Linked DNA regions of Tamandua tetradactyla. The main gene of each other region encodes a partner of the protein of the gene in region 4 in a complex. Links are inferred from orthologs where the notes say so. Each region holds a gene or a part of one and is shown on either strand. Other genes may lie near its edges. The genes, in order: DYDC1, NME5, LRRC23 and ROPN1L.

Evidence for each region.
Region 1: ROPN1L (region 4) and DYDC1 share a complex: the UniProt entries of both Homo sapiens proteins name them as parts of the axonemal radial spoke complex. The link is inferred for Tamandua tetradactyla from reciprocal best matches to the Homo sapiens genes ROPN1L and DYDC1.
Region 2: ROPN1L (region 4) and NME5 share a complex: the UniProt entries of both Homo sapiens proteins name them as parts of the axonemal radial spoke complex. The link is inferred for Tamandua tetradactyla from reciprocal best matches to the Homo sapiens genes ROPN1L and NME5.
Region 3: ROPN1L (region 4) and LRRC23 share a complex: the UniProt entries of both Homo sapiens proteins name them as parts of the axonemal radial spoke complex. The link is inferred for Tamandua tetradactyla from reciprocal best matches to the Homo sapiens genes ROPN1L and LRRC23.

What each region holds. Positions count from the first base shown.
Region 1 is NC_135339.1:15,512,887-15,521,493, reverse strand, and holds the start of DYDC1 (DPY30 domain-containing protein 1), read right to left. Parts: upstream 3,137-8,607; 5' UTR 2,966-3,136; intron 1-2,965. UniProt on the Homo sapiens protein: Functions as part of axonemal radial spoke complexes that play an important part in the motility of sperm and cilia. Plays a crucial role during acrosome biogenesis.
Region 2 is NC_135346.1:17,791,104-17,799,417, forward strand, and holds the start of NME5 (nucleoside diphosphate kinase homolog 5), read right to left. Parts: upstream 3,148-8,314; 5' UTR 3,059-3,147; intron 3,051-3,058; exon of another isoform or gene 2,630-3,050; 5' UTR 2,623-2,629; coding exon 2,494-2,622; intron 1-2,493. Other genes in the region: BRD8 (bromodomain-containing protein 8), read right to left, coding at 3,794-3,844, 4,403-4,580, 7,680-7,748. UniProt on the Homo sapiens protein: Functions as part of axonemal radial spoke complexes that play an important part in the motility of sperm and cilia. Does not seem to have nucleoside diphosphate kinase (NDPK) activity.
Region 3 is NC_135333.1:69,193,090-69,200,809, reverse strand, and holds the start of LRRC23 (leucine-rich repeat-containing protein 23), read right to left. Parts: upstream 3,339-7,720; 5' UTR 3,107-3,338; intron 1-3,106. UniProt on the Homo sapiens protein: Essential for sperm motility and male fertility. Plays an important role in the proper assembly of the third radial spoke (RS3) head and the bridge structure between RS2 and RS3 in the sperm flagella.
Region 4 is NC_135335.1:58,942,599-58,950,086, reverse strand, and holds the start of ROPN1L (ropporin-1-like protein), read right to left. Parts: upstream 3,469-7,488; 5' UTR 3,337-3,468; intron 3,189-3,336; 5' UTR 3,145-3,188; coding exon 3,014-3,144; intron 1-3,013. UniProt on the Homo sapiens protein: Functions as part of axonemal radial spoke complexes that play an important part in the motility of sperm and cilia. Important for male fertility.

The DNA.
Region 1 (8,607 bases), on a different chromosome or scaffold from region 4:
GAATTTACGGATGAGTAGGGAAGACAGATATTAATCAAATATGTCAACTAATAAATGTAAAATTGACATTGTAGTAAGTGCAATGGAGACCTGGTAATAGGGGAATTTAATCAAGTTGGAAAAGTAGAAGGAAAACTTTCCCAAGGTGTCACATTTGAGCTAAGATATGAAGAAATATTTAAAAATCAACAAGGCATAATTCTAAATTCTGAGATACTGAGCTGTTTGTATATAACATGGTCTTTCCCAGAAACTTTGGGTATTTATGTGACACCTGAGACTCAGAGTTAGAGCTCTGGAGCTATGAAAGTCAGTAGTACCCCATACAGGAACTGTTTAAAAAGTTGGAAAAGTGATTAGACATCAAGTAGAGATATGAATGAAGCTTATTTGGAATAGGACTAAGGTATAACAGAAGACTGGGTAAAGGACGATATCATCCATGTTTTAAAACTTCAACTTTTGTGTGAGACTCAAGGGAGAGATATTTATTTGGTGCAAAATTTATATTTTGGGTTGTGCAATTCCTAATTTAAATTGTTTGGTCAGTTTAGTTAACATCATAAGTACATGGAATCTTGAAAAGGGCATGCAATCTTGTTGATTTCTCTAGGTTAGTGTGATGCCCTGATAAACCACAGAGAGATTTGGACAGTGAACAAAGAAGTACTTGCAAAGTCCCCTTGGGGGAATGGAGAGAAAGGGGACAAAAATTCAACCTCCCCATTTGGAGATTCTCTGATATTCTAGCTAGCAGTGGGGACAACCAAATCAATAGGCCAAGCCTTCGATCCTGGGGGTCACCCCTATGAAACTATTCCTGCAAAGGATAAGCTAATACTACCTAACATTAGGCCTAAGAGTCACTCCCAGAGAACCTCTTTTATTGCTCAGATGTGGCCTCTCTCTCTCTCTCTAAGCCAACATGGCAATGAACTAATTGCCCTACCCCTCTACGTGGGAAATGACTTCCAGGGGTGTAAATCTCCCTGGCAACATGGGACAGAAATACTGGAATGAGAAAAAACTTCTTGACCGAAAGGGAGAAGAGAAAAGTGAGACAAAATAAAATGTCAGTGGCTGAGAGATTTCAAACAGAGTCTAGAGGTTATTCTTACACATTATATAGCTATCCCCTTTTTAGTTTATGGTATATTGGAGTGGCTGGAGGGTAGTACCTGAAGCTGTAGAACTGTTCCAGTAGCCTTGTTTCTTAAAGATGATTGAATAATGATATAATATTTACAATGTGACTGTGTGATTGTGAAAACTTTGTGTCTGATGCTCCTTTTATCAAGGGTATGGACAGATGAGTAAAAAATATGGATAGGGCGGGCCGCGGTGGCTCAGCGGGCAAAGTGCTTGCCTGCTATGCCGGAGGACCTCGGTTCGATTCCCGGCCCCAGCCCATGTAACGAAAACGGAGAAACAAAATACAATAAAACAAGAAAATGTTTAAAAGAGGTTTCCCTTTCTTCCTCTCTTCCTTCCTTCTATCCTTCCTTCCTTCTCTCTGTCTTTCCTTTAAAAAAAAAAAAAAAAAAAGAAAAAAAAATATGGATAAAAAAGAAACAAATAATAGGAGAAACAAAGGTTAAAATCAATTGGGTAGATGGAAATACTAGAGGTCAATGAGAGGGAGGGGTGAGGAGTATGGTATGTATGAGTTTTTCCTTTTTTATTTCTTTTTCTGGAGTGATACAAATGTTCAAAAAAATGATCATGGTGATGAATACATAACTATGTGATGATATTGTGAGCCACTGATTGTTCACCATGTATGGAATGTTTCTACGTTAAGAATGTTTGCATGTTTGTATGTTGTTTTATAAATAAAAATATTTTTTGAAAAAAAGAGGCAGAGAAGGAAAGGAAGAGCCTTCCAGGTATGAGAAAGCGCCTGGACGGTGACCAACCACGACAGCTGTAGGGGAAGAAGGTCAATGTGTCTAGGCCCTGTCCCTAGACAAATGCATCTAACATTTTACAAAAAATTCATCTGGAGGTCCATCCACAGACCCCAGTATTTCCATTCTCTCATATAATGTTGGTGGGAGAGCAAAACAGCATAGAGGGGGAATACTGGCAATAGTCAGAGCAATTACATAAGTGTTTACCCTTTGACCCAGCAATCTCACCTCTGGGATCCTATCGCAAAGATACATTCACAAAAATGTGAAATGACAGATGCACAAAGTTAACTTGCACCATTATTTAAAACAAAGACCGGAAACTATCAAATGTTTACCAGTAGGGGATTGGTAGCAACACAAGGAATTATATTATACAGATGTAAAACATTAGGAAACTCTCTAAGATAGGACTATTTTAGACAACGGGACTATTGTGACATGCAAAAGTGTTTACAGTATGTCATCTTTTGTATAGGAAACAGGAATGAGAAAGGAACGTGTTTGTGTCCATATACTTAGTCTTAAAACCTAAGGGAGGAGGCGTGCGACAGTGGCTCAGTGGCAGAATTCTCACTTGCCATGCGGGAGACCTAGGTTCGTTTTCCCCGTGCCTGCCCATGCAAGAAAAAACAAAATAAAATAAAATAAGGGAGGAGCCTTTGGTCTAAGTGTGGGCCCAAGTCCCACCAGCAGTGAGACCTGGGCAGGCTCAACTCGCTTGGCAAACGTTTCCCGTGCGCAAAATGGCCACAGTATCCATCAACCAAGGTTGTTGTAAGGCATGTTATTTTTCAAATACACCAAATGCCACATCTTGACTCAACTGAAGAAAGTCCCTTCCCACAGAAACAGCTGTCTCAAGTCCAGCGACGCTGCCACAAGAGACAGAAGATGACCCCCGGATCACGCTCGGGGTTTAGCCAAGTGGGAAGGGAGATGCGGGTAGCAACGCCAGATTTAGTAAATATCTGTCAATCCTCGCCCCGGGGCGCTTTGGCTCGGTTTCCAACAACCCCCGGGTCGCAAAAGGGGCCAGGTGCGACGCGGCTCACCACTGACGAGCTCTACGCCACTCGTAAAACCCAACTGCCAGCGCCGCCTGTCTCACTCGAACCCTGGGAAGCAACATGTGCGACACTCCAAAACTGCGCCTGCGTTCTCCGTGCTCGCGCCCGGTGCAGACCGACGCCCAAGCGCAATCTCGAGTCGCGTCCCGTCGCTAAGGAACGAATTCACGCACGCGCCTTAGGTGCCGGAGGAGGCCGGGGGCAGAGAGGAAGGGGCGCGAGAGGGTGAGCCGAGAGCGCGCGCGAGGGCTAGGGGGCGCGCGGCAAGGAGGAGTGCGCGCGACGCAGGGTGAGCAGCGCGCCCTCGACTCAGGTGTCAGCCGAGGTGCCCGGCAAAAGAGGAGGGACCTGGCAGCTGGGTGAGCAAAACACGGGCGTGAGGGGAGGAGAGCGCGAGGGTGGGAGGGCCGCGGGGAAGCACTGGAGAGGGTGGAGAGCGCGTGGCCGAGAGGCGCGGATGCAAGCCGCGATGGCCAGAGGCTTAGAGGTAGGGAGGAAGAGGCGGCCAAGACAAGTGCCCAGGTAGCGAGCGGACCTTCACTGCCAGAGAAGAACGAGCGGCGGATTCGCCGGAGGGTCAGTGAAGTGCAAGGAGGTCCCGAGGTCCCCTGGGCCAGAGGTCATTGCAAACTCGATGGCTCAATGGCCTTAGGTCTCAGTACCTTTGCACTTCCCGGCCACCTCCGTTTGGCTCCTTTCACAAGCGGCTCAGGCAGAGGCAAATCCCGGCCCTCCTGGTCCTGCCCCTTGCCAGAAGGTACAAAGAGGACCGTGTGAGCAGACTCTAGGGGAGCACATTTTTTTGGCGCCTCCCTTTCCAGGCCTCACCCGGTGGCTGTCATTCTTCTGGCTCTACTGTTTTTGCAACAGTCTTAGTAACCGGAAGGTTATTGGGATCATGTTGAAAATGTGCAATGTTGAGCAGGTGCTTTTTCCTTATAGGGTTTGCCTCACCTAGGCAGGGAGGCCGCTGACCAATGACTGGGGAGTGGAGAGGCTTCTTAGAAATGCAGAACTAGTGATTCTGCCCTCTGGGAAGATTGTGCCTACAAATCACCTGGGGATCTTATTAAAGTATGGATTCTGAATCTGTAGGTCTGGGTGAAACTTGAACATCTGTATTTCAGTGAGTGATGCAGTTCTGCTGGTTCTCAGATGACACTTGGAGTAAACGAGGTGTAGGAGATTGTTCATCCAGGCGCCTTGGTCCAGGTGGGCCACAGACTGGCAGAGGGGGACACCAACCTGCCCTGTCTCCACCTTCCACATTACCAAAACTTAGTGGCTTAAAGCACACACATGTATTCTCTTCCAGAGCTGGAGGTCTGAAGGCCCAGGTGAATCTTACAGGGTAAAAACGAGGGGGTGGACAGGGCTTGGTTTTTAATGGGGGCTCTGTGGGAGAATCCATTTCCTTTGCCAGCTTCTGGCATTTCTTTCCTGCCCCCTCCTCCCCCAAATTCCTTGGCTCATAGCCAGATATTGCATAGCGTTTTTTCCCCTCTGCCTCCATATTTACATTTCCTTCTTCCTTCTGTCTGAAGGAAGGAAGGAATTTCTATTTCATTCCTCTTACCAGATCCTTGAAATTACATTGAGCCCACCTGGGTGATCCAGGGTTAGCTTCCCATCTCAAGGTCCCTAACATAATCATAACTGCAAAGTCCTTTTGCCTTATAAAGTAACATATTCACAAGTTTCAGGTATTAGTGTGTGCACATTGTTGGTGGGCTATTATTCAGTCTACCACACTGTATTTTTCTTAAGAAAAAAGACATTCTCTTCTTTATTCTTATTTCAGTGAACAAAAGTGGGAAATTTAACCTAGACGCAATTCTGTTATCTAATCTAAAATTCATATTCACATGTATCCAATTTTTTTTAAAAATGTCCTTTGTAGAATTCATTTTTTTGGTCCACATCCAATTCATGATCATGTGTTGTTATTCCTGTTTAGTCTCCTTTAAGCTGCAATGGCTCTTCATCTTTTTTTTGTCTTCATATTTTTAAGAGTGCAGCTCAGTTATAGACTGTTTCTCAATTTGGTTTTGTTTGGTGTTTCCTCCATTAAATTCTTCCATTTATGGGCAGGAATCCACCAAAATGTATTATGTACCTTTCAGGACATCACTTCAGGAGGGCTGTGATGCCAGTTTGTCCCTTTTTGGTGATATATAATTCAATACTTCGATCCCTGGGTTAAGGTTGTGTCGATCAGGTTTCACCACTATAAACTTTCTACATTTCCATTTGGAATTATTTCTTCATCTGAAAAGAGGAGCTTTAACACTATTGAAATAGCTTATTTCTTATCGAATATTCGCCGAGTTTTGGCACCCACTGAAATTCTGATTTGATTCATGTACACTGTGATGGTTATGAAATAGTGATTTTAACTCCATTATTCTTTCCACATTTATTAATTGGTGTTCTGCTTTAAGGAAGACCTTTCCCTTCTTCCCCATTCATTCATTCACTACTTATTCTCAAATGGATTCTTATTTTGTTCAGTGAGTTATAATCCATTGCCATTATTATTTATTTTAATGGTCAAATTCACCTAGATTTGACTGGTTAGAACTGCTTCCTGCTGGCTTCTGTGTTTCCAACCATTTTATTTTTAGCATGTTCTTACTATTTGGCACAGCAAAATATTTCAGACTCATTGGATCCTTCTTGCCCAAGCCTTGGAAATCAGCTATTTCTCCAAAGAGCCCAAATTCCTTTTAAGTAAGAAGATGATTTAAATACAAAAGCTGGGTACTAGGAGTGCTTATTGGTGCTAGTTTTTTGCTACTAGGCCCTTGCAGTGGAGAAAGTTAGGAAGTATATTTCTTTACTACATCCATATCTTTCCATCTTTAATCTGAAAAATGAACAACAAAACCAGCATTGACAGTTTTATACAAGACAAAAAAACACCTCCAAAAAACATTAGGACTGGATCTAAGCCTGTAATATTTACTGTGCTTTTTTGGAGTTAAAATATGTACATTTCAGGAATTTGAGTTAGGAACAGATTAGGAGCTAGGCCAGTTCTTGTCACAATCTCCCACTGTAATAGGTAATATTTATTAAATGCTACATGCCAAGCGCTGTGCTAAGTGCCTTTCATTTATTATCTCTTCTAATCCTCACAATTATGGGGTACATATTTATGTTATTTCTGTTATAGATAAGAAAACTGAGGCTCAGAGAGGCTGAGTGACTTGCTAGAGAGATCACACAGCTGGTAAGTGGCAGAACCGGAACTGGAATTTGGTCTGTTTGAATCTGCAGCCTGCATTCATACTGCTACCCTAACGTTACCATGCCATTCTGCTACTGGTGATCCTAAGAGATGATACAATTTGGGCTATACTGCCTCCAGCTCTAGGACTCTGATTAATAATAAATCCAGGGTCATCAACCCAATCTAAGCAATAGGAAGTGGAATATTGTGTTGTATACAAGCAGGATGCCTGTCCCCCAGTGGCGGTGGTGCTTGTTCATTTTCCCTCCTTTTCCTCCCCAAGGCTTCTTATGGGTTTCCTGTAAAATAAATAAATTTGTTTTATCTATTTCGTAAATAACCATGAGCGCCAACCTCACAATACCATAACTCGCTGGGTGCTCAGAGCCCCTCCCAGGGGATTTCCTGCATGGTCAGTTATGTCCTCCTTGCCAAGGGTAGACGTGTGGGAGTAAGTGGAGGCTTGCTGAATACTTAAGCACCAATCTAACCACCTGATGACCCCCAGGACCTATTTCTGGCTTAGGACAACTGGAGGATGTAAGAACAGTTGGCAATAATGTATTTGGGTTTTTTTTTTTTTGAGAGAGAGAGAATGAATTCAGAAATATCTCATATTTATCCTGAAATGAATCTGAATTGGTTAGAATATGTACATTTAAAAAAATCAGATTGGATGTCTAAAATAATATGACTCTGCCTTCATGTTTCCCAGACCCCCAGGATGGAAACTGACTACCTAAAGAGGTGCTTTGGAAATTGCCTAGCCCAGGCACTGGCTGAGGTGGCTAAGGTTCGGCCCAGCGACCCAATAGAGTACCTGGCTCACTGGCTTTATCATTATAGGAAAACCTCCAAGGCAAAAGAAGAGGTGTGTATATATACTGGGTCTTCATTGGGAGGGGCTTTCTAGCTTTCTCCAAAGTAATTCTGGAGCTGGCCTGGAGAGTTTCTTGGTTTATTCAACATGCAAAGATTGTTTGGGGCCTGTAATAGTTAAGTTTAGGTGTCAACCTGGCCAGGTGATGGTGCCAGTTGTCTGGTCAGGCAAGCACTGGCCTTACCACTACTGCAAGGATATTTCTTGACTGGTTAATAAGCCAGAAGTCTGTATTATTAAATCATCGGTAAGTGTTAAGGTAGGAAGGAGGAACTCAGCATGGAGTATACATAGACCACAACAGATGAGCACCAGGAAATCCACAAATCACCCAGCCACAACACAGAGCACATTGAGGCTCCTAGTAGCCTACCTTTTCCTCCATATTCAAATTTTTAAATATTCATCAATCTTAGTGACAATCCCCATCTATGGAAAAAGAAATTTTAAAAGGCAATTCATCTTGAATATTAGGAAATGCCTTTGGTGTTACTAGTTTAAAAACTCAGATTTTTAAAAAATCTAATACTTCACCTGGAACAAATGTATTTTCATACAAGTTCCTTTGAGCCCTTTTCAAAAATTACTCAGTATTTTTCAAAAACAAAATAATGGCTGTTGTTAGTATATACCTCAGGTATATTATAATATTTTATTATTTGCAATTTACTTATGCATCAGCCACAGACACCTCCTCTATTTTGCTATAATAGTGGACATAAAAACTTGTAATAATTGGAACAACTGTGGATACATCAGTCAGACAAGCATATCTTTTATCTCCCACAATTTTTGCTACAATCTCCTGAACAATGATTTCTGTCATTTTATGCATCCTGCACAAGGAACAATAATACCTGAATACAGAACTGACTTAGTGGCAATGTTAGACCTGATTTCTAATACCTTTTAAAATACTCACTATATCCTGTGCATTAAAATCTTTGGTGCAGTGTGTACAATTCACTAGCTTTGGTGTAAGCAATGTTAATATTATAAGGTTTCTGAAGTCCACTTTTTCAAAGGCGTGAAAATATAACAGGTTTATTTATAGTTATACTAAAATGCTCAGCCTTCCTTTAAACAAATAATAGGTTTATTTTGCAAGTCTGGACATTTTCTAAATAAATTAAATCAAAAGAAAGTTGCTTTTCACATTACTCTTTGACCATAGTTCTGAGGGAATTTTTCAGAAATGATTCATTTTTTGAACAGTAGTTGGAAGAGGTGAAGTCACTATGCGAAAGTTGTCATCAGCTTGATGCCCATTCTAACTCTTTTCCAATACCACATTTCACTATTAACAAACATATGTGTTATATATTTAGTTTTATGGTACCTATTCCAGTTTGCTAGCTGCCAGAATGCAATATACCAGAAATGGAATGGCTTTTAAAAATGGGAATTTAATAAATTGCTAGTTTACAGTTCTAAGGAAGAGAAAATGTCCCAATCAAAACAAGTCTATAGAAATGTTCAATCCAAGGCATCCAGAAAAAGATACCTTGGTTCAAG
Region 2 (8,314 bases), on a different chromosome or scaffold from region 4:
AAATTAACACCAGCCAGCATTTATTATTTTAATGCATATGGGTAGTTTTTTCCCTTGAGAGGTTTAAAAATAAAATCTCACCTGTGGCAATGTAAGGCTTTATCTACATCATGCCCATACTACAAGTAGAAGAAGCTACTTTCTTCAGATATCCTAACTAATACAGCATAATCTTAAAAATCAAGGATTTGACTTTAAAGTTGAAACTGAATCAATGATTCCATTAGTTAATTTAAAATTCATATCAGGGAAAAAGTTTTGGAACTAGGTTGAATATTTTTACAAAGAGAAGTGGTGATAAAATACTTTCAAGAATGGAACCCTCAGTTTGTAACAAAGGAAACACAGGCACCAACTGAAAGGATATATAATTTTTCAGAAGGCTTTCCCAGCATGGGACAAGAAAGCCTCAAGTTCAATAGACTCCCAACTACAGTAAAGCCTATTTTAAAGCATCTGACACACCATGGCTTCGATAGTCTGAAATTTATTGCTGACAAGAGAAAGTATTAAATATGAGTAGTTATACTGATTTATAATTAGCTACTTAATTATTAACAATTTTCATTAATTCTCATTTTAAAATATGGACTTATAAATTTTTTTGAACTGAAAGGTGTATCTTTATCTTATTTATATGCTTATTTTTTTCTATGATTAAAAAATCAATGGGTATTAAAAGTTTCAAAAAATGAAAGCAATATAAAAAAGGTATATCCTGAAAAATCTCAATCCCATCCCTGTCCCAATCCATCCTGTTCTTCCTTGCCCTCAATAGGTAGCCATTTTTTTAAGTTCATTTAGCTCCCACTTTTTAATTTTGATGTCCCGATGAATCCCAGAGTGATTTCATCAGTGAGTGGAAAAGTATTTGCAAAGTCCCCTTTGGGGAATAGTGAGAACGGGGGAAAATTCAACTTCGCCAAGTTGAATTCTTGATATTCTCACAAGCAGTGTGGACAACCAAAGCTATAGGCTGAGCCCCCAGTCTTGGGGTTTGTTCATATGAAATTTAACCCCACAAAGGTTAAGCCTACTTAAAATTTAGGCCTAAGAGCCAACCCCAAGAGAGCCTCTTTTGTTGCTCAGATGTGGCCTAAAAAAAATAATAATAATAATATTAATAATTTTGCAAATATTGGCAAATGTGAATATACATTCCTTTTCCGCCTTTCCTTCACAAAAGGTTGCCACATGCTGTTTTGCAGCTTGCTTTTTTCCATAACAGTACACAGAGAAGTTCCTCATTCTTCTTTTTACAGTTAGTTGCACAGTATTCAATTTAGTGAATTCATCAGGGTTTATTAAACCAATCTCCTACTGCAGAGTTTTGTGCAATATTTTGCTGGTAAATAACCAATGTTGTAAAAAATAATCTGTATATATATATATATATAAATATATACCATTTATGTTACTATAGGAGTTTCTATAGGAGGCATTCCCAGGAGTAAGACTGCTGAGTTAAACGGTAAATGCATCAGTAATACTGGTAGATAACTGCCAGTTTCCCTTCAAAAGGGGTTGTGCCTTTTATTTTTAGATTTTTGCCAAATAGAATCTCAGTGTAATTTTATTAACTAGGCGCATGACCCTGTATAAATATAAGAGAATTAAAAAACTGGAAATTTAAATAAGGATGGTAAAGAAAGGGTAAAAACTTTTTCAACTGTATTTGATAAGCTTTTTTTTTTCGTATGCTGTATGACAGGGTCACATTTTATTATTTTGCTATGTGAGTATCCTGTTATTGCAGCACCATTTGTTGAATTTTTGTTTGTTTGTTTGTTTTGCTTGTTTGTTTGTTTTGGGGGAAGTGCAAAAACCTGGGTCTCTCACATGGCAGGTGAGAATTCTACCACTGAATTACTCTTGCACCCCTCATATTTGATAAGCTTTTAAAATATTCTTTTTATATTCATTCTCAAGCCTCTATAATCACAATATTTACCAAAAGCAGAACAAATATGAGGCTTAAAACATTAAATGTTTACAATACTGAAAACACACCAATGACCTAAAAGTCCATCTGTAGAACATAAATACATAAACTGTGACTTATCCATACAGGGGAATGTTACACAGAAGTTAGGAAGAATGAGATAGATGCAGATGTACACTGTGGAATGCTACCAGAGAGACTTTGTAAAGGAGGTCAAGGGAGGGGAACTATTATATTTTATGGGAAAAAATGTTTGTAAATACATAGAAAACTCCTAGAACAACAGACAGCGTTAACAGTAGTTGCCTATGGATTCGAGGACTTGGAGTGGGAGAAGACAGGTGAAGGAAGAGATCATTTTTCTTCTCATTTTATATCTTTTCGAGGTATATAACATTTTCATAACTATCACATACTACTTTTATCCTCAAAAGAATAAACCTAAATTTAATGCTATATACTAAAAATCTAAATGGAGTAACACATTCACATACACATTTAAATAAAGGAGCAAAAAGAAAAAAAGCATGATCATGGTGCCTAGAAGTTACCTGAACAATGGTGAATCCAGACCCGAGAATGATATCTTCTATTTCCTCTTCTTTGTCAACAACGTCTGGTTTGATAATGGCCAGAGTCTTTTCTACATATATCTGAGGTGGGGGCATTGATATCTCCATTCTGTCCCTTCAGAGTACAATTTAAGTTTCTTGACAGGTATCAACTGCAATGACACGTACCCTCCCAATTTAATGTAATTCTGATTAATAACCGCAATAATAGATGCTTGATATTACTAATTTAAGAAATTAGAAACTGTCACATATTTTTCTATAAGCAGTGTCTCACTGATCACGATTTCTGTCCTGTGTCCAGGTCACGCTTTGGGTTTTCGTAAGCACTTCCACCAAGATAGGAAAGATAGAGGGGCTCACAGGACCAAAGGAAAGGGGAATCCCGTAGGCTTCGGGGACGGGTTGCCTTAGAACAACTACACCTCTTATAGAAGACCACACATATAGGACCAAGCCTGGTTGGAGAGCAGGACCCCCGGGTCCTCTGGGATTCTTCGGGTGCTCCCGCAGATTCCAAGTCCACCCCAATGCCAGCACTCACCGCAGTACCCTCCCCTCCACTGCGACCACAGCTTGTTGCTAGGAGACCTGAAGCCCCAGTTCAGGGATGGTGGCTGCAGAGGGTCAATCTCAGCAGAGCGCTTTGTGCCCTTCTACCGCTTCCTTTTAACCAAGAAAGGGAGCCAACTACAAATGATTTTATTCCCCCTGCGAATCTTAGAGCGCTAGACGCTATTGTTTTTTGTTTGTTTTATATCTCCTCATAATTTATCTTATTTCATCCTCTTCTCTATAGGAGGATGCTTCATTCCCACTTTACGAATGAGAAGAAAAATCAGACACTCCCCCCTCATCCCTTCCAGACAACAAACGCAAAAAAATCCTTGTCAAATCCCATCCTCATTTGATCAAATCATGCTGTCTCCTCTATCCCTAGCTTCTGTAACGATTAAAAAAGCAATTTGTGGTTTGCGAAATAACATTTATTTATAGCTCAGTAATAGGTTTAATCAAGTTACCTCTAAATTAAACCTAAGGAACAAAGATGTAGGGCTACATTTGTGGCATAAACACAATCTCAGCTTCCCTCTTCTTCTCCTTGGTAGTAAACTGGGGCATTACTATTTTAGAAAATGCAACAGAAACGTGGTAAACAAGTACTGAAATCTTCTCAGGATCAGAATCTCAAGGAGAGGTCCAAACTCCAGAAAAGGTCAGGGTAGCAGTTCCAGGGTAACAAAATAGGTTTTTCATCATCCACAAGGTTGGACAATTCTCACTCCAGACTATTTAAGTCTCTTCTTTTGTCTAACCAAATACTCAGCACCTAAAGAGTCAAGACAGATAGCAAAATGTGGATCTTAAAAATTACAGAAATTTAAATGCAATATTATTTCTTCTTCTGCACATAAATTTGATTACACTTTCCTCTTTAAAGTATTATGCCTTCCAGAAAAGGAACCATTAAATGTTTATTTCTGGTTATTATATCTTATCCGCTAAAGATGTGATAGTGTGAAAGTACATTAGTATCAACAGGTGTAGCAAACAAAAGAATGGTTAGTGACTCCGGAATCTGCTTTGCATATTCAGCCCTCTGACCTGAGGCTCTCGAAGTACAGCTCCCATTATTTGTCTATCCCCAGCTTTTTGAGAGCTCTTTACTGCTGCCTGCCTTTCCAGGCTATTTCACTTCACTCTCTACAGAGGCTAAGGGATACAGCCAGTAGGTACAGTGTCAATCCTTTAAGACCTTCAATAACCCCTAAAGATAAACTCTCGGAACACAAGTTTACCTCAATAGCACACTTATTCTCACAGATTTCCTGAAATCAAATTCCAGATGTAAAAAAATTCTTTTTCACAGCTCTCTACAAAAAAGTACCTGAATCTGCTCCAAGACTTCTCGCTGCATCTCCACAGCCATGTGGTACACATGATGGTCAGAGTCATTGTACATCACAGCATTTTGGAACATCAGCATCAGGTCCCGCTGGAACTGGGCCATGGTGCGAATCCGTCCCTTAGATAGATTCCTCTTCAGGCTAGTTAAGTCCATGGGTCTGCAAGTGACCAAAAGAAATCAAGGGAAATCAAACCTTCATGTAGAACATGTGGTGACATTAACATACTCTCTTGGAGAATAACCTCTTCTCAATGAAAATAATAAAAATAACAACTCCCATCACAAAATAAACTAGCAACAGCAGCTAACATTTGATTGCTTACAACAGGCTAATCATTATGCTAGGCACTTTGCATACTGACGCACTTAATTCTCTCAGTAAGCCTATAAAGTATTATTATCCCCCCTTTAGATGGTGAAATTGAGATCTAACAAGATTAAGTCCTTGCGCAAAGCGAGCCAGCCTAGATTCTAATAAAAGAAGTTGACTCCAGAGCCCTAAGGCCCAGCCACTATATTCTACTATTGTAATAGGATAGCGCCGAGGTAAAATATTGCAAAGATCTTCAAAGGTCAGTCAGTTCTCCTTTCATGGAGAACAAAGGTGAGAATCAAGTGAATAATAAGACAAATCAAATTATTATTTAATGAGACCCAGAGAGTGGGGGTATATGAGTAGGAACAGCAGTGTAGAGATTGAACTGGGAGGCAACTGTCTGGTATTTACAAATGGGCATTCTTCTGTTCGGAAAAGATTTTTTTCAATGTTAAAGGAGATTAAAATATGCATTATTGAAAATAAGGGGGTCACTATGAATAAAATATGCCTGAATGGAGGTACATATAAACATTAAGGAGTCTCCCCCCCAAAAAAAATAGAATCTGGGATTTAGTTCTAGCTCTGCTATAACCTATTGGTTGATCATAGGCAAGTCATGACCACCTCTGAATCTCAGTTTCCTCATTTAGAAAATGAAAGAATTTGCCTGCGAAAGTCCCTTCCTGATCTTTGAACATTCTGTTAATACACTGGTTGTGCTGGTTTGAAAGGATGTGTGCCCCCTAGAAAAGCCATGTTTTAATCCTAATCCCATTTTGTAAAGGCAGTCGTTTCTTCTAATCCCTATTCAGCACTGTATGTTTGAAACTGTAATTAGAACATCTCCCTGGAGATGTGATTTAATCAAGAGTGGTTGTTAAATTGGGTTAGGTGATGACATGTCTATATCCATTTGGGTAGGTCTTGATAAGTTTCTGGAGTCCTATAAAAGAGGAAACATTTTGGAGAATGGAGGAGATTCAGGGAGAGCAGTGAATGCTGCAGCACCACGAAGCAGAGAGTCCATGAGCCAGCGACCTTTAGAGATGAAGAAGGAAAACGCCTCCTGGGAGCTTCATGAAATCCGAAGCCAGGAGAGAAAGCTAGCAGATGACACCATGTTTGCCATGTGCCCTTCCAGGTGAGAGAGAAACCCTGACTGCGTTCACCATGTGCCTTCTCACTTGAGAAAGAAACCCTGAACTTCATCGGCCTTCTTCAACCAAGGTATCTTTCCTTGGATGCCTTAGGTTGGACATTTCCACAGACTTGTTTAATCGGGACATTTTCTCGGCCTTAGAACTGTAAACTAGCAACTTATTAAATTCCCCTTTTAAAAGCCGTTTTCTGGTACATTGCATTCTGGCAGCTAGCAAACTAGAACACTGGTTATGACAGTATTTAGATGAACTATGCTGGAAAAATCTAAAATACTATAATCAATGTTTGTAACACTCATTTGGATTACCATCCTTGCATTTAGCATACCGCAAAGCTAAATGCCTGATCGCAACTTTCCTTTCCAAAGTTTTGCTTCAAAAGTACAATGTCAAAAACAAAGACGAACCTTGAAAACATTTGTAAATGAAATAAGCCAGACACAAATGGATGAATATCCAGGCATAAATAGATAACTATTGTAGAATACCATTTATATGAAATATCTAGAACAGGGAAATTCAGAGAGACAAAAAGTATATTAGAGTTTACCAGGGTTAGGGGGAGGGAAGACTGGTGAGTAATTGCTTAATGAGTACAGAGTTTCTGTTTGGGGTGATGAAAAAGTTTTAGTTGTAGCGGTAATGGTTGCACAACATGATGAATGTAACTAACTACTATTAAATTATACACTTAAAAATGGTTTTAAAAAAACCATAGCACATGGAACCTTGAGTAGGGCATAAGATTTTGTAGGTTTGTCCAGAGTGATGCCCCCAATAAACCCCAGAGTGATTTAAACAGTGAATAAAAAAGTATTTGCAAAGTTCCCTTGGGGGAATGGTGAGAAAGGGGGAAAATTCAACCTCCCCAAGTGGAGAATTCTTGATAGTCTCACAAGCAGTGGGGACAACTAAAGCAATAGGCTGAGCTCCCAAATCTTGGGGTTTGTTCATATGAAACTTAACCCCGCAAAGGATAGGCTAAGCCTACTTAAAATTGGGCCAAAGAGTCAACCTCAAAAGAACTTCTTTTATTGCTCTGATGTGGCCTCTCTCTCTCAGCCAAAGTGACAAGCAAACTCACTGCCCTCCCCTTCTCTACATGGACATGACTCCCAGGGGTGTGGACCTTCCTGGCAACGTGGGACAGAATTCCTAGAATGAGCTGGGACTCAGCATCAAGGGATTGAGAAAACCTTCTTGACCGAAAGGGGGAAGAGAGAAATGAGGCAAAATAAAGTGTCAATGGCGGAGAGATTCCAAACAGAGTCAGGAGGTTATCCTGGAGGTTATTCTTACGCATTAAATAGATATTATCTTTTTAGTTAAGGCATAACAGAGAGGCTGGAGGGAACTGCCTGAAAACGTAGAGCTGTGTTCTAGTAGTCATGTTTCTTGAAGATGATTGTATAATGATACACAAAAAACTTGTGTTTGATGCTTCTTTTATCTACCTTATGCACAGATGAGTAAAACATAAGGAATAAAATAAATAATAAGGGGAACAAAAAATGCTAATGTGAGGTTATATAACAATATATGAATCCTATTACTTCAAAGTCAATGTTAAAAAATACATGTTATCCTTTTGTTTCTTGAGTTCCTTCTCACATGAAAATAATGAGTTCACCATAACTTTACAAACTTCTTCAGCTGAAAAATATAATGTTGAGTTTGTAAGTAATGTAAATGAAGCAAATAATAATCTAATAGATGAGAAAGAATAAAAAGACAGATAAAAAAGCAACCAACCTTTCTTGACCCCTTTTCCACTGACCTTTTCACCACATCCTTGTACCCAGGGGCCTGCCTATCTGACACAGGCTTCAGAAATGGACTGCTGAACCTGGTAAAGACAAATCCAGAAAGATAAGGAAACCCTGGGAAGTCACTCTAGATGAAAATAGTGGCTGCAAACTCTAAGACAAAACACTTAAAATAAAGTGTGGTTTACTTCTTAATAGACTTCCTTTACAGAAATGCAGACTATGAGCTCCATTAAGAAAGAAATCTATGAGTTAAGACTTGTTTAACAGAAATAAATTTTTAAAAAATCAAAATATTCAACCACTATTCTAACATACTGATTTAGGGCTCAGAAATTTGTTCAAGGTCCCTGAGGCCCTATTCCTGGGGAAAAAAGACAATCCACGGTACTGGAAGAAGGCATATCTTTTAAATATAAATTTTGCCACGTAATAGGAAACAGTTTAGAGATACAAATCAAAGGAAACAGGAATACTTTTTGTAGACAGCAAAAGGAGCTATGAGTAACTACGGATAAAACAGGTTTATACACAAGATCTGCCTTTTAACTATGGCTCATGTGAGGAGATATTTCTCTCTTTATGTTTAATCCCTAATATATATCACTTCTTCACTTCTGAATTCAACCCGATCACTACTTTGGAC
Region 3 (7,720 bases), on a different chromosome or scaffold from region 4:
AGAAAATGGGTTTACTTAATGGGTTCATTTAATGGGTTCAATGTTAAGCTCTACCACTTAACAGCTGTGTTCTTCAGCAGGTTATATAATTTTACTGAAGTTTAATTTCCACTTTTGTGAAGTGGGGCTAAAAATGGCCACCTCAAGGGATTGTTGGAGTGAAAACAGATAATGTGGGGTAAATTGCCTTAACTTTAGTAGATGCTCCCTAAACAATTCTCTGCCCCTCCCCATCCCTTGCCTCAGTTTCTTCATTATTGAGGTTGTTGTGAGAAAAGAGAAAGAATATGAAAGCACCCTAAAGAGCCAGAAGTCCTACTGAAGGAAAATTATTGCATTGTTAGAGTGCAGAGAAGGGAAAACCCTATGTGGTGTGGTTTGCTGTACTCAAAGGGAAAGGATGTGATTTTCCTTGGCCTGAAAAAAAAAGAATACACTTTAGGTGGGAGGAAAAGGTGTGGCCTAGGGACTAGGGAAGTATCAATTAATATACTCTTGTTAAGAGTTTACTCTGCACCAGACTCTAAATGGTGGGTGCTCAAGGACAATAAAAAACTTTATCTTCAGAGGGTTTACAGGCCATTGAGAGGGTTAAGTAAACAAGAGACAGATGCTATAATAATGATACCCAACATTTAGTGATCTTTTAATAAGTGCCAAGGGATAATTTTATAGTATGTGTATATACATATTACCCATATTCCTCACAAAACAATGAAGTAGGAGCTATAATTCTCACTTTACAGATGAATTTGAATATGGAACTTTGTGGGGGATAAAGGGTGTACAACTGATCTAGTGCAGGGTCAGGAAAACCAAGCCATTCCAGAGGCGGAACCAAGAACTGCCAGGTGAAGGGGGCAGAAATTCCAGACAGAGGAAGCACCTGTGTGAAGGTCTAGACGCGAGAGAGAGGCCATTGCCTAGTGCAAGGAGAACAGGTGGTTCTGCCACCTAGGACAGCAGGTGCAGGGGAGGTGGAAGGAGTGCTGGGTGGGGGGAGGGCGCGTTGGAAGGGGGGATGGGGGGGCAGTATGAGGCAGGAGCAGCAAATGGAGATGGATCACACTCAAGAATCTGGACTTTATCTTGAAAGCTGTCGGGAGCCTTTGAAAGTCTTATTTTGTGCTTAGTTGACAAGGACTCAATCTACATTGCTTAATTAAGAAACAAAAGGGCTATCAATCATGCAGACTGTTCATCGACCGGATTTTTTCATCCAATAGTACAACCTGGACATCTTTCATATCACTAAACATAGATCTACCTCCTTTCTTTGTTATAGTTGTCTTCCATTATGTGGATATATTGTAATTTTTCTATTCCCCGTTGATAGGTATTGACTTTTTAAAAAATTAACATTATAAATAATGTGGCAATAAAAATTCTTAAAGGTATATTTTTGTTCTTCTAGTAAGTACTCTGGAGGATTACTTCTCAAAATTTAAAGTGCATAGGAATTGTCCGAGAATCTCACTAAAATATAAATTATGAAATTCTCAGAAGACATCCATGCTGCTTGTCCACGGACCACACTTTAAGTAACAAGGCTCTGTGGGATATTGAAAACTAGAAAACGTTGAAATAAAAGCAGCAAGGATAAATAAGAGGGCATTAGATTTAGCAAGGAAGATTTATGACAACTCTGACTAATCCAGGTGGGGTAGTCAGTTTAAGAGGGAGTGGTTAGCATAATAGGTTTGCTCACTTACAATGCACAGTTTCTAACATAACCTGGGTGTCTCTTACTTCCAATCTCCCTCGTCCAGGGTAAAGAAAATGATTGTCTGCCTGTAGAGACTACCAAGACAAAACTAACATTATAGCAGGAAGTACACAGATGATGGGGAAACAAGGAAACCTGTCTGAGGGATAGTGGAATCTAACCCTATATGTAAAGAAACTCGAGGCCGGGGGTGGTGGAGGTTGAGGCTTAATTATATGATTTGCCCAAGCCTTCTGTCCCTTCCACTCCCTTCTGTGGCCCACCGCCCTCCCAAAAACTAGAGGCCCCCTCACCCTCTTTTTTAACTTTTTTTAATCGTGAAAAATTATATATATCCAAAAAAGCAATAAATTTCTAAGTATATTTTAACAAATATTATACAAGAAATTTTAAAGTTTGGTAAGGGTAACAGTTCCTCGATTTTTCATTTTTGCTTCTAGCTGATCCAAGACTGGAGACCAACAGAAATATTAATATAATTGTCAGGTATCAGAAAATAAAACTTAATATACAAAATGGATTCTGTAACACGGGGGTCCCTTCAGTTTCTCTCCCTCAGCAGTGAGGACAAACGTGCCAACACCCCACCTGCCAGAAGCCAGACCAGATAACCGTAAGTGTGAAGTCATGATCTGCACCAGCCTGATATCTCCCAGCGATGCCTGTGCACCCCCAACCCCTCTTGGCACGGTTTTTCCTTTAAAACCACAAGCTGTCAGAAAGTTGGAGTCATTTTTCCTTTCCTTTCGGTAGTAGGTTTTGCTGGCTCCCACCTGCCTGTTTTCCCTTTGCTCTCAATCTGTTTCTCTAATTCTCAATAAACTGTTAAGCTTTAACTCACTGTTTCATGTGGAATCCTTTAGCTACCCAGTGTCTAACAATAATGATTCAGCTGTCATACTCATTTGTTAAATCCTATCTTTTCAGTTATACTCCTCCTTCTCTTTAAATAACATACACAGAAGAGCAATAAATTTCAAAGTACAGCACAGCAATCAGTTGAACAGAGTGTGGTATAGGTTACAATTCCACAATTTTAGGTTTTTATTTCTAGCTACTGTAAGGTACTGGAGGCTAAAAGAAATATCAGTATAATGATTCAGCACCCATACTCATTTGTTAAACCCGACCTTCTCTGTAAAACTCCACCATCACCTTTGATCTTTCTTTCTCCCACTCTTTAGGGGTATTTGGGCCATACCCATTTTAACTTTTTCACCCTGGAAGAAGTGTCCTTAATATGGAATAAGGGGATGGAACTAGTTGCTATTCTGGAAAAGCTGGCCCCTCGACACAGGATTTATTTGGTCCTGGGACCCATCTGGGGGTTGATGGCTTGGGAAAGTTACCCTAGTGCAGGAAACCCTAGTTCCTCCTTGCCTTTAAGGATGGGCTTTCAGCCAGAGACCCTGCCTCCACTCAGAGTCCTTTGTTCCGGCGCAGAACGTTCCAGACGCCAATGCGGGTGCCAGGGAGTAGGTTGGCGGGGCGGGGGTTGCCGGCTCCTCCTTCATTCCGAGATCACAAGGCCGGCGGACGAGGATGGGTGGAGTCGCCTTTACCAAGGCGCCGGTGGTGGGTTCGCAGGGCACGCTGCGCAGCCGCCCCGCCCCCCAACGTGACCGCTCACGTGACAATGGGCCGGCGTGAGTCAGCGTGCTGCCTGCCGCGTGCTTTGCAATGGTTAAGGAACCTGAAGGTTATACGCCTGCGCAGGGTGGCAGCGCGGCCTCCTAGGCCATATTTTCTACAGACGCTGTCGCCATTTTCTCGCCACCCGTGGGCTTGGTAGTCAGTATTCCTATGTTTGATTCTTTTTTTTTTATTTTAAACATGGGCAGGCACCGGGAATCAATCCCGGATCCTCTGGCGTGGCAGGCAAGCGTTCTTGCCTGCTGAGCCACCATGGCCCACCTCTATGTTTGATTGTTGATGCTGCTAATTACCAGCTCTGTGGACCAGCTGTTTAATCTCTGTAAGCCTCAGTCTGTGAATCTGTTGAAATTGACATATCATTTTTGTAGAGTTAAATGAGATACTGTGAGTTTCATGACATATTTAACTCGATATCAGCAATACTCGTTTAAATAGGACACAGGGTGGCCAACCAACATCACATGAGCGTGAGATGGAAGAATGGACTATGTTGTTTCTTTGGGCCCTGTTCTCCTGGGTTTCTTCAGTGTAGATACCTTGCAGGGCTACGATTCTGTTGTTTTAATATATCTCCTTTCCATATAACATGACCCGTTTAGAGGCAGTCCAGTCAAATCGGATCTTTGTAAATGCTGGGAGAAAAACTGTTTTTCTGAGGGAGGGTGGTGTGTCCGTTTCTGATATTAGCCACATAAATATGGCGTCAAGAATCTGCATGTGTAATCAACATTCAAGAAATTTGTGAAGCTAGATCATCAGAACGTTGCTACAGTTGCTAAGGTGACAGCAAAGTGGGTGTGATAAGTACTTGAAGTCAGAAAAGGCACTAAACTTACAGTTAGAGGACATGAACCAGAAACGTGTCTAACAGGCAATACATAGCAAAAAAAAAAAAAAAAAAAAAACGAAAAAAAGAAAGTAAAGCTCTCATTCTGAAGTCAAAGTTCAAACTTATTGCCAGGGAACAGGGCATTCGGATGTAAGGATTTCAAAACCAGCCAAAGATGGCTTAATAGTTTCAGAAACCACTTCAACCTCAAAAAATATGCAAATTGTGAGGCTGTGTCTGTGCAGGAACAGGCAGCAAAACCCATCCAAAGATACTTTTAAAAATTATTGGTAAACCCACAACTTCTCTAATTAAAAAAGTAAATTTAAAATTTTTTAAAAGCAACTAATTGCCAACTTTCTATAAAATAGGAATACACACATAACTATTAACAGAGCCTGTTTAGAATATTTGAGTACCAGCCACCCCATTATCCATATTAATGTGGGTGGGAGACAGAAGCAGATATTTTTATAATGTAATGTATCGATAATCAAGTAAAATTTCTTAATTCTTAAAAGGCCTATGGATAAGCTTAATGCCTATGGCTAAGCTAACTTAAGATAACAATTTCAGGTGGTTGAGATTTCCATATGTTCATTATAAAAATATTTGTAGCTTCACATTTTCCTGAAATCAGGAAAATATTGAGTAACATAGGCCATTACTATAACAATGTAGATATTTGCAAGAACTTTCTACGTGATATTTTGAGAACATTCACAGTTTTAACAGCTGATTCAGTGGTATCTAAGTTTGTGTTTAATATTTAGAATGTAAGAACTCTGCCGTCTGAATTTGCAGATTTTTTTCCTTGTTGCCTTAATTTTAAATTGCTTTATGAAACTTACAGCGCAAACACAGGCTTTACAATGATTTATTTAAATATGCCTGTGGTTAAGCTAAGATATCCATTGTTGGGGGTTCTAAATAAATTGTTTTCTTAAATTAAAAAAAAAGTCCACACACTCAGAGGTAAAATTGTTGAAAAAAAAATAACCAAGAGAAACAGAATAGGCCGAAAGAAAGATGAAGTTAGGAAAATGTTTAATCTGATACTATATTATAACAAAAAGTTTTTAGCCTTCATGTGATTTGAATAAAGTGCTTAAGATACATCAAAAAATCAATGAGACAACAACTGAGGCAAAAACTGATGTGAAAATTATTTTGGATCATGGAAAACATTCTGATATTCCTATTTGATTCAAGTTTTCAAACTATAAGCCAATGGGGTGACAAGTGCGTTTGTCTTGGCACATGTAGCAATTAAAAAATTCCCAACCAATATCCCGAAGAACCACAGACAAATATTTACTGAAGTCCACAAGAGTCTTTTCCCTGAATAAAAATATTCCAAAATAATAAAAGTTGCTATACATTTCACTGTAACACACTTGCTCCTTGAGTAGAATCAATGATTTAAAAAAAGTATTACCAGCGAAAAGGGCTATCTTGTGGAATATGATGAGACAGGTATTTTCTGGGAGGAAACTGCATTTAGATTTCCAAACTAGAAACACAAGGCCCTGTTTGAAGGCAGTTAATGACTTTATCTCTGCTCCTTTCTCTCCTTTCCATCTGTCCCCCTCTTATAGTGGCAATGTAATGTATTTAATAATGCCAGACATATTCTATAGCGCTACAAATCCTTGAGTCCCACTCCCTAAAAAATCTGTTGGTGCCCAACAATCAAATGCAAAGTCTTGGGGTGATAGCAGCACTTTTCCTGATTAGTTCCACAGTTGTTCATTCTAGAAGTCAAGCAGGACCTCAAAGAGAAAGACTTGGCTTTAGCATGGCTGACCACAAATAGCTTCACCCTGAGGTACTCCGTTGTGTACTAACAACATTGAAGTCTTCTTCCTCCCCACAGTATCACCGCACCCTCTGTCTGCTAATCTAAGCATGATTTGCTATTTCAAAGACACATATATGAGGCTGAGATTGCTCCTTGATTCCCAGAGCCATGTATGCTGACTCATTTTAATGTGACGTTGATTTGGAAGTCCTTCCATATTGCCAGTTGCAAAATTTATATTAAACAGACAATGGAAGCAATGAAATCTGAATCATTCAGTGTAGGTTGGCAACAATGAGTTTAGAATTTAAGGATTTTCTGTGGAAAAGAAGTGAAACTCATTGCTGAAGTGGCCTAGGAAGTGGATCATGGTGGCTTTATGGAAATCTTTGAGGAATAAATTGAAGAACTTCTTAAGAACCACAGAGAAATGCTAATAAGAAGTTTGAGGAACTGATAAGATAAAGATGATGAATACGAAGAGGCAAGAAGTTGAAATCATCATAAATTTGCTGAAGTAGTCCATGCTGCAAAATACCTGAAGGATTTAAATTCTTAATAAAATCCCACATGGAGAAAAACCTGAAAATCACCTGTGGCTAAATCTATACATTTGTAATTTCCTATGAACTAGCACGTCTGCAACAAAAATGAGTGCCTAGGTCCACAAAAGAACTTGCACTATAATGGACATAGTATCTTTCTGCATAATAACTAAAAACTGGAAAAAACCCAAATGCCTATCAGTAGAATAAACTGTGGTATTAATACACAATGGAATTGTCCAATAATGGAAATAACAAGCCACTGTTACATTCAACAAAATCTCACAGACATAATGTTGAGAAAAGTCAGACACAAAAGAGTACGTACTATATGGTTTCATTTATATGAAATGGAAGAACAGACAAAACTAAGCAGTGATAGAGGTCAAACAAAGTTACCTGTGGGAGTTTATCTGGCAAGAAGGAGTTCTCTAGAATGCTGGAAATGTTCTTTATATTGATCTTTTGGGTGGTAGTCCACAAATGTATACACATGTAATAACTTCATTGAGCAATTTAAGATGAGTGTACTTTTTATGTTACATGTTGATAAAGAAGATTAAATGTTAGAATTACTTGTAGCATTATGGAATATATGTGTAATTATCAGCATGTATTTGAGCAGCTCAAGATTCAGTGCAACAACTGTTGAATATCATATTTTAAACAACCAGAAGTAGCTGAGCCTGGGCAATTTCTCAAGCTAAATCAGAGCCAGTTGAGGTTTACTCTCCCTCTCTGTACCCCATGCCTTCTACCATTTGGGTTCTACAAGGGTCCTTTACTTATTATTCATCATAGGCCTGTATCCACAATCATGGTGGCATTATTATTATTTTTATACACTGGCAAGTATATCCAGGATAGATGGTTGATAAGGGTACACGGTTCAGGGTTCACAGCTTTCCTTTTCTTTAATTAAATCATCACAAAATTATATTCTGTATATCATTGAATCCATTCTTCCAAATGTCTATTTTTTAACATAAAATTAACACATGTTGTTACCTAATAGATGGTGTATTAGTTTGGAAGCTGATAGAATGTGATATTCCAGAACTGGAACAGCTTTTAAAAAGGGGAATTTAATAAGTTACAAGTTTACAGTTCTGAGGAAGTGAAAGTGTCCAAATTAAGGCACCAACAAGAGGTTACCTTCACTC
Region 4 (7,488 bases):
AGGACGTTTCATAGCTCATCCCCCTCTCTTTCTCCAAATTCAGCTCCCAAATTCAACTTCGTTTTCATGCTTGTAAGAGAGCTCCAGCTGGGTTCTGTGGGTTGAACTTCCAGATGCAAGGAAAAGTAAAACGGAGGCAGCTGTCAGACAAACAGGGCCCTAGAAACTTTGGGGTCAGCACTGGCTGATGAAATCTCCAGGGCTGAGCTGGAGGGGTGCTTAGTTTTGTCATATTGCTCCCAGGAGGGTTTCCACCATGTTGATTTTATTCTGCACAACCCATCAGTCACCCAGTTCCGAGTGCACTTAGAGCACGGGATCTCCAGAGCGAGCCATTTTGTCTTCATCCCACCCAGGGGCATTTAACCATGCCTGGAGACATCTTTGATGGTCACAACTGCGGTGGAGGGTGCTCCTGGCACCTCTAGATGGAAGCCTGGATGCTGCCCTGCAGCCTGCAATGCACACAAAAGCCCCTTCCCCCAACCAAAGGGTTTTCAAGGGCCTAATGTGGGAAACCCTGATTTAAAGGGGAAGCTGACTTGTGTTACACTCTGCTTGTCCTCTCCAGGCACAAGTGAGCCAAAGCTGCCTTTGACACTCGCCCAGATCAAGCCTCCATTGTGCTATGTGATGACATCATAAGGGACAGTGGACCAACTGTTCCATCACAGCACAGCAGACAGGCTTGGGATAAAGGCTCACTCACCTCTGATGCCTTCACCACCTGTAGAAAGAGGCCTAATCCAGTTCTTGTTTTTTGTTTTCATTGTTACAGTTCCCTCTCACCCTCCCCTTATCCAGATGCTGTTTTCCCATCCTACAATACCGCACCGCCCTGCCTTAGCCTCAGTCTCTTTCAGAATTTCTCACAGACACAATCACCCACTTCTGAATCCCATGACCCTTTAATATACGCTGACCACTTTCCACCTTAACTTGAGTTATTAATGTGTTGCTTAATGACTAATGCTTGGTTTCACTCTAAAACTCTAAAATTGTTCCTGAGAAAAAGGAATGGCAAGGAAGGAACATTCAGAAAGTTCTCAGTTTAACCTTTTAAGTTAAAAGTGAAGTTTAGACTCTCCAGGAGTGAAAAAATGCTGGGGACAATTTACCAACACAGAGACAGCTGCATATCTATGATTTATAACACCAATTAGTTTCTCGCATTAATGAGATCACACGTGCATTATATGCACCTTGACTGTAACTTCCTCATTGTGGATTGAATTGTGTCCCCCCAAAAGCTGGTTTCAAGTTCTAATCCCTGGTCCCATGAATGTGATCCTATGTGGAAATAGGGTCTTTGTGAATCATTAAGATGAGGCTAAAATGGATTGGAATGGGCCCAAATCCAACGACTGGTGTCCTTACTAGGAAAAGACCTTTGGACACAGACAGAGAGAGAAGGCAGCCATGTGGCAGAGGCAGAGTTGAGTTATGTAGCATGCCAAAGAATGCCTTGAATTGCCAGCAAGTCACTTCCAGAACCCTGCAGACTTTAGAGGGAGCATGGCCTTGCCAACACCTTGCTTTTGAGCTTCCAGCCTCTGGAACTGCAAAACAACACATTTCTCATTTGTAAGCATACCCCTCCCCCCCCCCCCAAAAAGTGAAGCTTTAAATAGTTGTCTATAAAATATTACCAAATATTCTTTAATGTTCCAGGAAAAAACTTTACTAAATCTTGAAATTTTCTATAGAATGGAAATCAAATCTAAGTCCTAACAATCTTTTATTTGGGCTTGACTAACAGTTAAAACCAGATGCCACTATTTTTTAGGGGGGGGGCAGATACGAACCTTGAAGGACCCTTTCAGAAGGCAAAGCACTGTATTACCTAGTAGTAGCCTTGTATGGGCAGCTGAATAGTGGACCCCAAAGATATCTAGACTGGAACCCCTGGAACCTTATATGCTAATAGAGACTTTGTAGTATGACTGAGAACTCTGAGATGGGAAAATTGTCCTGGATTATCCAGGAGGCCCACAAGCCATCACACCCCTATAGGAGGGAGAGAGAGGGACACATGAAGATGCTATCCTGCTGGCTTTGAAGACAGAGGAAGAAGCCATGAGCCAAGGAAGGCTGCTATAGAAGCTGGAGGAGGCAAGGGAAGGGGCTCTCCCCTAGAGCCTCTGGAGGGACCGCAGCCCTGACAATAGTTGGCCTGGGCTCAGTGAAACTAATTTTGGACTTGACTTCTGGGCTCCAGAACTGCAGGAGAATAAATTATCATTGTTTTAAGCCACAAAGTTTGTGGCAATTTTTTACAGCAGCTCTGGGAAACGATTACATCTTGGCTAGAAAGTTCAGAGAAGGTCATTAAAATCTGACAAACTAAAAAGTAAGCTACATCTATACTTAGACTTGAGTTATGTCCTCATAGAAGTGAGCCTCCATTCATCTAAGCATGTTTATCAATAAAAGGGCAAGGACCCTTCCATAAAATCAAATTTCTTTCAACAGCTCTAGATTCAGTTGTCCTGAAACTCTGGGATTATGAATATCTGTTACTGCAAATTGGTTAGAATGTTTGTTGCAACAAACTGTGAAATTTCCTTCCTGTGCAGCTGCCGGTAGGGAGGCATCTTCGCAGCCTGGGAGGGGTGGGGTGCGGGCGGTTGACCCCATGACCTCAGTCATTCTAGTTCTAATAAACTCAACCAGGATTCTCTGAGACTGGGAACAGATCAAGGATTCCTTCTTGCATAAATCAAGTTACAAGGAGGAACCCTTTATTACATGTTATTACACTGTGATAGTCCGAATTTATAACATCAGGTGGAAACGTTATATCCAATGCAGTTACTTTCAAGTTGTGGTCCGTTGTCTTAAACACCACTCGTCAACAACTGAGTTGTCACTCTGTAGCTAAGCGCGCGTTCTACCCTAACTTCTGCTCTGATTGGCAGTCACACGCCAAGGTACTTTCGAGAGACGCACGACCCCTGAGTGTCCCGGCACGTAAGTAGGGCTGGAGGCTGCAGGCCGCGGCCGAGGGGCTTACCCCGCGGACCACTGCAGGACGTCGGCGGGCTGGGTGCGGATTGCAGCCTTGGTGAACTGCTTCAGGATATCCGGCAGCTCCGGGGGAATGTGGATCTGCTGCGCGCAGAACATGGTGTCGGGCAGCGGCATCTCTCCCGAAGACCACGAAGCAGCCTGGGAAGAATCACGGGTGGCTGCGGAGAGGAGAGGACAGGAAAGGAGGGGGGGGGGGCGGTTCCCCGAGCTTCGGGGCTCTGCGGTCGCCGGGACCACATTGGGGCTTAGGCACCGCACACCCCCGGGTTTGAGGCTGAGCTGGGGTCCCGGGGCGGGGGGCTTTACCGCCTCTTCCTCCGGATCCTAGGGAAATGAAGCCCAACGGTCCCTGCAAGCGACACACCGGACCTTGCCCCTCCCCAGCAAGCAGCAGCGATTGTTTCGCATCGGTATCCAGGCAACCGGGACGCGCGCGGGTCCGGGCGCCGCGCATGCGCACACATAGGAGGCGGCTAGGCCAGGCAGTGGGCTTGCCCAGTCTGACTCCCTAGTCCTTCCTCCGCTAGCTCGGGCTTTAGAGCTGTTGAAGTTGCACATTTCTAGCGGAAAAGGGCCTTTTGATCGATTTTCCACAGCCACATGTGAGCGGCATACTCACAAAGTCCCTTTTTTCCCCTTGCTGTGGCTACTCGAGGCTTAGGGGCAAGGTGACTCGGGTTCTCCGAGGTGGGACATTTATACAAAAGTGTAGATTATAATCTTCCCGGAATTGAGAACTGTTACCCAGGGGATGCTCTTCACGCAAGTGATCACTTTTTTTGGGAAAAGAGGGAGAAAACTGACCTGGATCTGGAAGAGCTGGATAGGGCTGGAGGAGCACCTATAATACAATCTTACTTATGAATATGTGGACCAAATACACATATATTTGATCAAAATGAAACCAGCAATGGCTTTAAAGTAACACTGTAAAAAAAAAAAATTCCCAGCAATGTAAGTATACTTTATTTCCTTAAAAACTTTAAGATGGAAATTTGAAACATTCTGAAAACTAGAGAAAACAAAATGAACCTCGTTATACCATAAAATCAGCTTCAAAAGTTTTCAACATTTAGTTGTCTTGTTATATCATCCATTCCAAACTCTTTCTGGGTATTAGAGGGAGTATAAAGTTGAATTCTTTAACATAACCTAGAATGATGGCATTCCTATCAATAATTTACATCTCATTCGTAATTTTAATACCAAAATTTCCTACATAATAAATTAGAAAGTAAATTAAAAATTTATAGGCCACTGAAACCAACAATTCATAAAAATTCTTAATATTGAGTGGGCCACGGTGGCTCAGCAGGCAAGAATGCTCGCCTGCCATGTCAGAGGACCCGGGTTTGATTCCCGGTGCCTGCCCATGTTAAAAAAAAAAATTCTTAATATCAATATCCTTTCATATTCACATTCTCCTAAACGAATCAATAATGTATTTTTACTGTTTTTTTTTACCCCAGATCTAAATAAGAGTCTCTCATTATATTTTCTTTCTATAACTCTTAAGATTAGAAAATATATTACTGTAATGGACAATATAATCAACTTCAAGTTGAAAATTTGACTAAGTAAAAGCATATTTTAAAAATAATAAAAAAAAGCCACCTGGAGTTTAGATACAGAGAAGTTGATTCCATTTAACTTGTCCTAAGTAAGAAATGGTGGTTGAGCTAATACACTGGGTCCTAGGAGGAAATGAGCCACCTGTCTTCTATTGCAGTAGCTTTGCATAGACGTAATTCTGATCTATTCGGATGGGTGCTGACCAGGCCACATGCAGGGTTTGAGTCCTGGCTGGCTCCAGCCGCTATCCTTAACACCCACAATGTATGAACGTGGCCCTGCATCAAGCCCCACGATGGCTCTTTACCTGAGAAGTTGGTCCGATCTTTCCTTTTGGTCCACATCCCAACAAATGAATCACACAACACATTTCCAAGTTAACAACATTGGTAAAACTGAAAATAATCAATATTCAACGTTGATGAAGGTATGGGAAAATAAGGACTCTTATACACTGGATAGGAGTGTCATTAGTGTGTTTTGGGGACAATTTGGCACTATAAAACCTTTTGATGACTTAGCAATCTTCTAGGAAACTATCTTGTGGAAATACTAGCCTGAGTGTTCAAAGTTATATGGAAAAGAATGTTTACTAAAGCATAGTTTGTAATATAATAAAATGGGACAACTGTCTTCAGAAAACTTAAATCATGGTCTGTCTACACAATAGAATACAATACACCCAAAATTTAAAAATGGAGCAGCTATTTATGGACTGGTATCAGATGCCAGTTAACATACAAAGTGAAGAACACTTCCTGAAGAACAAATCTACCAGTTAGCATGACACCTTTATTGTGATAAAATGATTCTGTGAATGTATGTTTATTTACATAAAGCAAATCTGCAAGGGTACAGTAAACCATTAATGGAATACGCTGATGACATGGGGTTTTATTTTAACCATTTAGCCATTTTTTCCCCCTGAATTCATTCATTTATTTACTTGCTCAACACTTACTGAGCACTGATAAATGTTAGGGACTATTACTAGATTCTGGGAATATAGCAGTAGTCCAAGTAGTTTTTTTAAAAAAATCTCTGGAGCTTCCATTTAAAGGGGGAAAAATGTAAATAAACAGGATAAGGAAACCATATAGTATGCTTAATAATATTAAAGAAAAAACTACAGGAGACAGGGACACAGGAAGACTCCAGTAGCTGCAATTTTAGATAAGCCTCACTGAGAATGACACTTATGTCAAGAAATTCGGTTGGAGGAGCCGGAGGAAAAACACTCAGGCACAGCAAACAGCATGTGAAAAGGCCCTGAGGCCCAACCAAATGTGAGGACAGAAAGGCTGGCTAGAGCACAGCAAGAGTTGTGCGTGTGTGATGGTGGCTGTTGGGTGGGGGTACGGGGAGAAGGTATTGATGCTGTTATGAAGAGAAAAAGAAGAGCCACAAGTCTTGCCCAAACTTGAAGGCCATTGTGGACTCTGGCTTTGAGTGTGATATCATCATCACACACAATGGCTTATGCTGTTGAAGGATTCTGGGTAGAGGACTAATATATCTGAATTCTGTCTTAAGGTTCACTCTGGACTCAGTGATGGAGAAAAGAATAGAAAGCAAGGGCAGAGGCAAGGGAGCACAGGAAAAATAGCAGTATTCCAGGCAGGAGATGATGGAGCTAGGCACCCAGAGGCAGCAGGGGAGATAGTGTGAATTAGATTCCTGATTTTTAAGAGAAAAGATTTGCTGTCGGACTGGATACGGAGTGTATGAGAGAAGGGTCAAGAGTGTTCCCACCATTTTTGACTTAGCAACTCTAATCCATCCAGTTGCTTACCAACTGAGATGGAGTTTGAGAAAAATAGCAGGTTTGGGGTGGTGGGAGATCAAAAGCTGTATTTTGGACCTGTTCATGGGATTGTAGGCAGTTGTCTGGATGGATGTGTCTAGAGGTCAGGGAACAAGGATACATATGTGGGAGTCATCAGTGTACACTTCATCACTATAGCTATGAAACTGAGCAAGAGCCCCAAGTCCAAGGGTATAGATGGGATAGAGGGTCCAGACTAAGTCCCAGAGCCTTGAAAACAGTTGCAAGACAAGATGGAGCTAGCAAAGGAGTTCAGTCCAAATATGTAGGAGGGAAATTTGGAGAGTGTGGCATCCTGGGAGCCAAGGGAAATGTTTGATGGACAGAGAAAACAATTGTGCCAGATGAGACAAGTTGAGACCTGAGACTTTTAGTAGTAGTCACTTTTGACCTTTACAAGAGCAATTCCAGTGGAATAGTGGGAGCAAAAACCTGGATGGAACAGGTTGGGAAGAGAATGAGAGAGCATGAATGGGAAACAATTGAGTACAGTTAACTCTTTGAAGGCAGTTTTTTAAAAGCAAAGAGAAATGGAGCAATTGTTGGAGGAGAAAGTGGGGTCAAGATTTTGTTTACAGTGGAAGAAAGGAGAGCAATATCTGAATGATGATGGAAATGAGGCAACAAAGAGACATTGATGATGCAGGAGAGGGATGGAACTGTAGAGCACTTGGCAGGTGTTATCTAGTGATCCAGTGGAGGGTTACAGGGCTCTGGAAGTTCACAACTAGACAAGGGGCCACCTTTCACATGGCTGCCAATACAAACGGCAAAGCACACTCTGAAGGAGATGTGCACAGTCTGCACAGACATATGTCTTGGCCCAGCAAAGGTGGCCTTAGATAGCTTTTTTATTAAATTGTGGAAATACATATACAACATATACTTTCCCATCTCAACCCAAGCATACAATTGAGTGGGATTAATCACATTCACAATGTTGTGCTACCCTCACACCATCCATTATCAGAACTTTCCCATCAACTCAAACAGAAACCTTATACCCTTTATGCATTAATTCCCCATTCCTCCTCCCCACCCCACACCTGGCCTTTCTGAGT